Linked DNA regions of Coturnix japonica. The protein of the gene in region 2 purifies or fractionates together with the protein of the main gene of each other region. This does not show direct contact. Links are inferred from orthologs where the notes say so. Each region holds a gene or a part of one and is shown on either strand. Other genes may lie near its edges.

The links. Proteins that work in one complex are often made in the same cells at the same time.
Region 1: the proteins of EXOC3 (region 2) and EXOC7 purify together in Homo sapiens (affinity purification with mass spectrometry; 5 studies listed by BioGRID and IntAct, counting the BioPlex papers as one, with this or other methods). This does not show direct contact. The link is inferred for Coturnix japonica from reciprocal best matches to the Homo sapiens genes EXOC3 and EXOC7.

Annotation. Positions count from the first base shown.
Region 1 is NC_029533.1:3,918,693-3,922,891, forward strand, and holds the start of EXOC7 (exocyst complex component 7), read left to right. Parts: upstream 1-1,399; 5' UTR 1,400-1,509; coding exon 1,510-1,569; intron 1,570-1,778; coding exon 1,779-1,844; intron 1,845-2,589; coding exon 2,590-2,774; intron 2,775-2,903; coding exon 2,904-3,009; intron 3,010-3,408; coding exon 3,409-3,631; intron 3,632-4,199. UniProt on the Homo sapiens protein: Component of the exocyst complex involved in the docking of exocytic vesicles with fusion sites on the plasma membrane.
Region 2 is NC_029517.1:80,087,712-80,091,662, forward strand, and holds the start of EXOC3 (exocyst complex component 3), read left to right. Parts: upstream 1-1,151; 5' UTR 1,152-1,270; intron 1,271-2,723; 5' UTR 2,724-2,764; coding exon 2,765-2,908; intron 2,909-3,951. UniProt on the Homo sapiens protein: Component of the exocyst complex involved in the docking of exocytic vesicles with fusion sites on the plasma membrane.

The DNA of each region.
Region 1 (4,199 bases), on a different chromosome or scaffold from region 2:
GAGCACTGGGGAAGGTTTCCCAGCAGGACCTTAATTCCCTCTGCAAATAAAGCCGGAGGGAGGGAGAGCACAGCTTGTGTCTGTGCTGGGCTAGTGGATGGGGTTGTGGGGGGGACTTATGGGGCCAACCCTTAGGGACTGATCCCAACCACCTTACAATGAGCCAAGGGCCGAGCTCTGCTGCTTCATCTTCACCTTTGCTCCTTGGCAGTATTTGGGAGCCCAGCACCCCAAACCTCCCATTGCTGAGCAAGGGGGCTGCGATGCCATTTGAATGCTGCATCCAAACAGCACGGAGCCATCAGGTTCTGATCAGATCCCAACCTGCAGCTTTAGAGCAGCGCAGCAGCTTTGCTCGGTGCCAAATGGACTCAGCAGCCCCAACCAAAGCACGGTGCCAACTCGGCCGTTGGTGACACCCTCCCATGGAGCAAAAGGAGCAGCATTCCTCCATGCACTGCTGACTCACTGCCTTTCATCCTCCGCAGGCGGCAGCTTCGGCGCGGAAAGAGATTGTTGGCGGGGTGGGAAGGCGGCAGCAGCAGGCGGGATGGGATATAAACTGTGTTATTGCCTTTCAAGATGCAAAGGGTGGCTGAGGGGAGCAGCAGGGCCGTGTCACAGTGCTCATATCTCTGCCTGTGTGGTGCCACTTTGGGGCTGTGGGGTGGGAATACATTGCCCTTCATGCTGGTCGGCACACAGCTGTGTGATAAGGTGGATCATAAAACCCACCTGTTGTTGAATAGAGACCCATTGGGCTGCCTCAGCCTCACCAAGCACAGGGTGGGCTGATAAGGGGAAGATAGATGGGGACACAGGTCCAGCCCCTATAGCAGGAGGTTGGGGTGCTTGGTTTATGGCACACACAGCAGGTCTGACAGCAGCAGAGGGTGCTGGGTCACACTGGGGCATTCCCTGTCGTGCATCCCCTTCCTGCAATGGGTGCATTTCCTAGCAGCACACAATAGCAGCGCACACTGAGCTGCTGCATTTCCTCCTTCTATGGGCAGCCCCTGTATGAGCCCAGTGCAGTGACAGAGCACAGGGGGGTGGGATGTGCTCTGTGATGCCATACAGTAAGTAGAGCAGGACTGGGCCCAGCCATGGACCCAACCCTCCTGCAGGACCACTGGTCTCCTTCCAGGTGCCCGCCCTGGAGCCGCTGGGACCCCCTCGTGTCTTTCAGTGCATTGGGGTCACTCTGCACATCCATCCCGGCAGATAAAGGGTGCCATATTAGGACACACCACGCCCCTCCCAAGATGGCGGCGCAGCCTGTACGCCACACCCAAGGTGGCGACCAACAATGCGCATGCGCGTTACTCCCCCAATCCTCTTTCCGGTTCCTCTATGCCGGAAGCCATTCTCTAGATAGCGCTTTGGCTTTCTGCGCATGCGCAACGTGCCTTGCCGCACCCAAAATGGCGGCGCGGTGGTGGCCGGCCGGAAGTGAGTTGTGGTAGCGGGGTTTGTGTGTGGAGCGCGGCCCTGGCGCCCCGCAGCACCATGATCCCAACAGAGGAGATGTCGGCCCGCAGGAGGGAGATCGAGGACAAGCTGAAGCAGGTGGGGCTGGGCTGGGGTCAGTGCTTGGAGGTGGGGTTGGGCCTGCGGCTATCAGGGGCCTGTTATGTCTCCTCAGGGTTCATGGGTGTCTGTGTGCGGCCTACCCTGTGCTCGGTCTCCCAGCTGTGGGTGTGTGACCCTCGTTTGGTGTATAGTGAGTTCAATGCTCGATGGTCTGAAGTGAAAACTGCTTTTTATCGTGACTGCAGGAAGAAGAAACGCTGTCCTTTATCAAAGAGAGCCTTGAGAAGAGCGACCAGCTCACAAAGAACATGGTGAGGAGCTCCTGGAGGTGCAGCCTTAATGTTGGGTCAGGGGCTGTTCATCCTTAGGTAGACTCATGTTTAAGGGTGGTGTTGTACTTGTCTGAGCAATACAGAGTAATAAATCACTTGCTTTTACACCCCACAGGCTGGTTTCCAACCCATACTTTCCCTCCTTGGGAGGTGTGGGTGCAAAGCAAAGGCTTCATGTCCTTACAGTCTGTCCTTTCTCTTCTTGAAAGAGCTGCGTTTTGACCCAGGAGGGATGATGTGAAGTCACCCTCTGTGGGCTTATTTTCCACAGTTCAGAAGTGACAGACCCTTTTAAAAGCCAAATACTTGCAATGTAAAAGGACATTAATGCCACAATGTGCCTTTGTGTTGTCTCTGTTTTACATCTTAGTATTATGGAGCAAAGTGGCTGCCAGGTTGTTTTTATTGATCTCTTTTATCTAAGGCACCTCCAGGCATTTCCAGTGGCTTTGTTTCTTGCTATCAAGTCAAGTTTTGCTCTCCCTTAGTGCTGTTTTGCATGCTTTACAAATGTAAGGATGGTCTATCTTTGACAGCAGGTGACCTGTATTGTAATTATTCATTATTCATTAGGACATAGAAAGTTTAAACAGCCTGCCTTAAGGGGCCATGGAACAGAAGTGGGGCCTGAAGGTGCCTAATTGCCCTATTCTAGCTACTAACCCGTAGTGTGAATTCATGTGGAGGGATGTCCTCAACTCTTTTTTTCTCTCTTGACATGTAGGTTTCTATCCTTTCCTCCTTTGAAAGTCGTTTGATGAAGCTGGAGAACTCGATCATCCCTGTCCATAAACAGACAGAGAATCTACAGCGCTTGCAGGAGAACGTGGAAAAAACCTTGTCCTGCTTGGATCATGTCATTAGTTACTACCATGTGGCAAAGGACACAGAGAAGATCATAAAGGAAGGGTGAGTTTGGTAGCTAGGTCTTGCTGGGGTGCTTCATCCTGTCAGTTCTTGGGGCAGAGGTAGGCGCTGACTCCACACACTTTGTCTTTTTCTTCTTCTGATCCTTTTTATTTTTGCTTTTATTTTTAGCCCCACTGGGAGGCTGGAGGAGTACTTGAATTGCATGGACAAAATCCAGAAAGCAGTGGAATACTTCCAGGACAACAATCCAGACAGCCCGGAGCTGAACCGTGTGGTAGGTCGCAGGTCTGGAAGCTTGCATGGGTAAGATAGGAACAGCCATAACCCTGCCACTTACCCTCTGTGGGCAGTGAGAGGCTGGTGGGCTTGCTGCCTGATAAAGAATGTGTTTGGGCACAGCTGAAGAAATGATTGCTTTGGTTTCTGTCCTAGCCCGACAGCAATTTTGCTTGGTGATATTTTGTTCTTTTCATGCTTTATATACTGAGCAACTCCCAGGCAATTCCATATGTAACTAAGTCATTAAAAGTCTCTTAGCTACAGGCACTGGAGTTTGAAGCATGCAGTACTTGACAGTGATTAGAAACGCTGCAGAAAGTGCAATCTCATGCAGAAAGACTTGTGAGTGACTGATTACAACAACCCTGTTCTGTCCTCTGCTGGTTTGTGCCAGAAATCCCTCTTTGAGAGGGGAAAAGAGTCCTTGGAATCAGAGTTCCGCAGCTTGATGACGCGACACACCAAGCCTGTCCCACCCATCCTCATCCTGGACCTGATCAGTGGAGATGATGAAATGGACACACAGGAGGAGATGGCACTAGAACACCTCCCAGAGAGCGTCCTGCACGACGTCATCCGTATCTCTGGCTGGCTGGTGGAAAATGGCAGGAATCAAGGTGGGCAGAGCTGCGTGGTGTTCCCTTGTAGTTTTGTATTGAGTCAGTGCTCTCCACTGGTCATCACCTGAGGGCCTGAGGGCAGGGTGTTGGAGCTGCAATCCTCTAGTGCTCAGATATCACAAATGTGCAAGGAACTATGACTTTCTCCCTCTTGTGAATGATTAATGAGCAAACCGTTTTTAATTAAACGTGACCAAAGAGGGCTATAAAAGCAGCACAAAAATATTTTCTTCAGTCAATATATCTCCTTTCTGTTTTGCAGCATCAGAGTTTACCTGCATCCTTATATTCTATTACTGACTTTTCCTTTGGTTTGGAATGACTTAGTGGACCTGTTACAGGAAGGCTGTTCTTTCACATACATGCAGCTACTAGAGCTACCCCCACTGCAATGATTTAATTCTGAGTGGGGATTACTGTGCCAAGCAAGTGTGACAAACAGCCTTAAAAGCTGCTTAAGAATTTTTCCATGATGAAAGGAAGTAACTGAAGTATATATGGCTCATTCTCATTAGTCAGTTTATATTCTGCTTTCAGACAGTGAACCCCCCCCCCCCCATTTAAT
Region 2 (3,951 bases):
TATAGGTCAAGCTAATACATAATCAATAGTCTCCTCCTCAGTTTGACTACGTATTCATTACATTCCCTATGGCCCCATTCCCTCATTCCCAGTGACCCCGTTCCCTGCGACCCTTGCCGTTGTTTTGGGGTGAAATTCTTCTGTTTTCTTCTTGGTGTTATCTGCTGTTATCATTCTCCCATGTCGGCATCATCTTGCCCGGGGGTATCTAATCCTTCTTCTTGTCAGAGGTCTCAGGACAATTTCTTCTTATCCTTATTGCCCTCTTCTCTGGTTTTCTTTTGACTAAGTGTCTGTAATTCCCTTTTTCCCTGCCCTTTTAAATGTAAACTATCTACAGTTACCCTTTGTCTTGGTTTCTGTGAAGCTCCCCTTTCCCTTTCTATAGCAAAGTGTTAGCTTGCCTCCATTTTGGGGCTTTGCTTTTTTTGGTTTCCCACCAAATTTCTGATTTAACTGCTCTCCTACATGTTTTATAGAGGCTTTATGTGACACAAAGTTGCAAACAAGCAGCAGCCCGGAGCCCACAGCAGACCCCAGCACAGCACAAGAGGGTTTTGCATTGCACAAAAGGAAAGCGACTCGTCCTGTTGGCTTTTGCATTTCATTTATTGAAGTGATGTGTAAAACCGAGTTCACCTCAAGACGCATTAACAACTGCTTCCCCAGCACCAGCAAACAACACCACGGACGTTCCCAACGTTTTGGATGTGGTGTTGAGGGATATGATTTAGTACTGGGAAGTATTGGTGATGGTTGGACTGGATGATCTTCTAGGTCTTTTCCAACCTTGATGAATCACAGAATGAATCACAGAATGACCCGGGTTGGAAGGGACCTCAAGGATCATGTAGTTCCAACCCCCCTGCCTGGCAGGGCCACCAAACATACACATTTACTAGATTAGGTTGCCCATGGCCCCGTCCAACCTGGCCTTGAACACCTCCAAGGACGCGGCATCCACAACCTCCCTGGGCAGCCTGTTCCAGGGCCTAACCACTCTCCTAGTGAACTTCCCCCTAACATTCAACCTAAAATAATTCTGTGACTGTGAACTGCAGCTGAGCACACCGCGCATGCGCAGGTGAGGCCCCGCAAGGCGCACGCCCTCCTCCCGAACAGCGAGGGAGCTGAGGGCTGCCCCTGCGCATGCGTACTTGGCCGTGACGCCAAGGGTCTGCGTTGTGCGCATGCGCGCTGCCCGCCTGTCAGCGCCGTGCCGAGGGGCGGCTGCTGCAGCCCGTGAGCGGTACCGCGGTGTCCGGCCATGGTGAGCGCTCCGCCGGTAGCGGCCAGCGGGAAGCGGGAGGGGAACGATCCGAGGAGCCGCTGGGATGGCGGGGCCCAAAGGGTGCCGAGAGGGTGCCGAGGGAGCGTCCGGGCCGATGTGGCGCAGGAATTCGGGGCTGAGGGCGCTTGGCGGCTGCGGGCTCGCCGGGGCGGGGCTCCGGCCTACGGGCACCTGCCGGGCTGTGGCGGCTGAGGGAGCCGGGTGCGCTGCGCTTCGTGCCCGCTGTGTGGTGAGGGGATGCGTCCTGCACAGCCCGCGGCCTGGCACTACCCGCCGTGTATCGCTGCTCGTGTCTGCTCGGCTGACTGTGGAAGTTTCCCTAAAGCGCCGGGCTTGGTTTGGCTGAGGGAGTTGGGTTTGTTCAGCCTGGAGAAGAGAAGGTTGCGGGGTGACCTCATTGCAGCCTTTCAATACCTGAAGGGAACCTACACCCAGGAGGGGAGTAAACTCTTTGAAAGGGCTGACAATAGCAGGACACGGGGAAATGGTTTTAAGTTAAAAGAGGGAAGATTTAGGTTGGATGTTAGGGGGAAGTTCTTCACTAGGGCAGAAGTCGGTATAGTCCTTGGAACAGGCGCCCAGGGAGGTGTGGATTGCGCCCGTCACTTTGGAGGTGTTCAAGGCCAAGGTTGGACGGGGGCCCTGGGCAACTGATCTAGTAAATGTGTTGTATGGTTTGGGTGGCCCTGCCAGGCAGGGGGGTTGGAACTACATGATCCTTGAGGTCCCTTCCAACCCGGGTCATTCTGTGATTCTGTGATTGGTTTTGTTGGCTCTTTGCTCGTGGTGACGGCTGACAGCCTCTGTAAAGTTGGCACGGGTTCCTGAAGTTTGCTCTTCCTGTGTGAGCGGTTGGTGGTTGTGAAATGGCCCAGTCATTGCAGCACGTCGCCGTGTAATCAGAAGGTTGCGTGAGGTGCGTCGGCTGCCCGAGTTGTGGCTGTGTGTGTTAAAGCTGCCCTAACTCTGCTCATACTGTTTACTCAGAGGGTGGTGAGGTACTGGCACAGCTGCCCATAGAAGCTGTGGTGCCCCATCCCTGGAGGTGCTCAAGGCCAGGTTGGATGGGGCCCTGGGCAGCTGAACTGCTGGTGGGCAGCCCTGCCCATGGCAGGGGGTGGGGATGGGTGGGCTTTGAGGGCCCTTCCATCAAAAATCTAAACAAAAGTGCTTTGTAGTTCAGTCTTCAAGTTTAGAGCTTCCATGGTTATGTTTCTCTCCACTGCTGATACCAGATTTGAGTTACTGCCGGGGGACTCTAGATGTTTCACTTCCAACAGGTTTAAGTTCTGGGAGAGGAATCCACAACATTCCTATATGCATCTCTCATTCCCCTTTTAATAGGCAAACGTACCCTAGGTTACATAGTTTGAATAGATAGAGAGCCATCGAGTGAAAGCGTATGTTCTAAAACAGTTACGTTTCTTTTCAGCGCTGTTGAATGATGAAGGCATTCTGAGGTCCTAATCAGCCATGGAGGAAACAGATAGGGAAGCGGTTGCAACTGCTGTTCAGAGGGTGGCTGGAATGCTTCAGCGTCCTGATCAGCTGGATAAAGTGGAGCAGTATCGCAGGAGGGAAGCTCGTAAGAAGGCTTCAGTGGAAGCTCGACTCAAGGTACACAGAATGAGCTTTCCTTTTTTCTTTTCCTTCTGTGTTTTCATTCAGACAGCTTTAAAACATGGACTTGAATTTTTGGTCTGACTGCGAAAGAGAAGTTTTGAAACTAACGTGAGCAAATGTTTTATATCCTGTTGAAATTTTGTTCAAGCATTTCAGATGTTCTCATGACCTGTAGCTTGTACAGTTTATTCACAGACAAGTTCCCTCCTGCAGTGTAGCCTATCAGCCTGCAAATGTTGTATCATAGAATCATAGAATTACTCAGGTTGGAAAAGATCTTGAAGATCATCAAGTCCAACCACAGCCTAATCAGTACCCTAACTCTAACAACCCTACGTAATCCCTGAGCACACATCAAAATGGTCCTAAACATTTCAGTGATGGTGACTCAAGCATCAACCACCTCCCTGGGGAGCCTATTCCAGTACCTAAATACCCCTTCTGTAAAGAAGTTCTTCTTAATATCCAACCTAAACTTGCCCTGGTGCAACTTGAGGCCATTTCCCCTCGTCCTGTCACTTGTCACTAATGAGAAGAGACCTGCCCCACTCTCACTGTAAGCACCTTTCAGGTACTGGAAGAGGGCGATCAAGTCTCCCCTCAGCCTCCTTTTGCCCAAACTAAACAGCCCCAGGTCCCTTAGCCTCTCCTCATAGGGCTGATTCTCCAAGCTCTTCAGAAGCCTCACTGCCCTTCTCTGGGCCTGCTCCAGTACCTCAATGTCTTTTTTGTACTGAGGTGCCCAAAACTGAACGCAGTACTCGAGGTGAGGCCTCACCAATGCCGAGTACACCAATGCCGATGACTTCCCAGTTATAAGCAGTTATATTCAGGGTACCAGCAGGCTTCTTAGATGAAAAAGAGCTGTAAAAGTAACTCTTCAGTATCCATCTGAGGATTAAAAACTAAGAACCTCACTGAAAGGAGCATGGAAGGAATCGAAAGCTTTCAAACAGGAAAGGACAGTGGATCCTGATGAACAAGAGAGGAGGCAGGTAGACCAGATGCTTTAAGAATCCAGTTTAAGTGCAGATTGT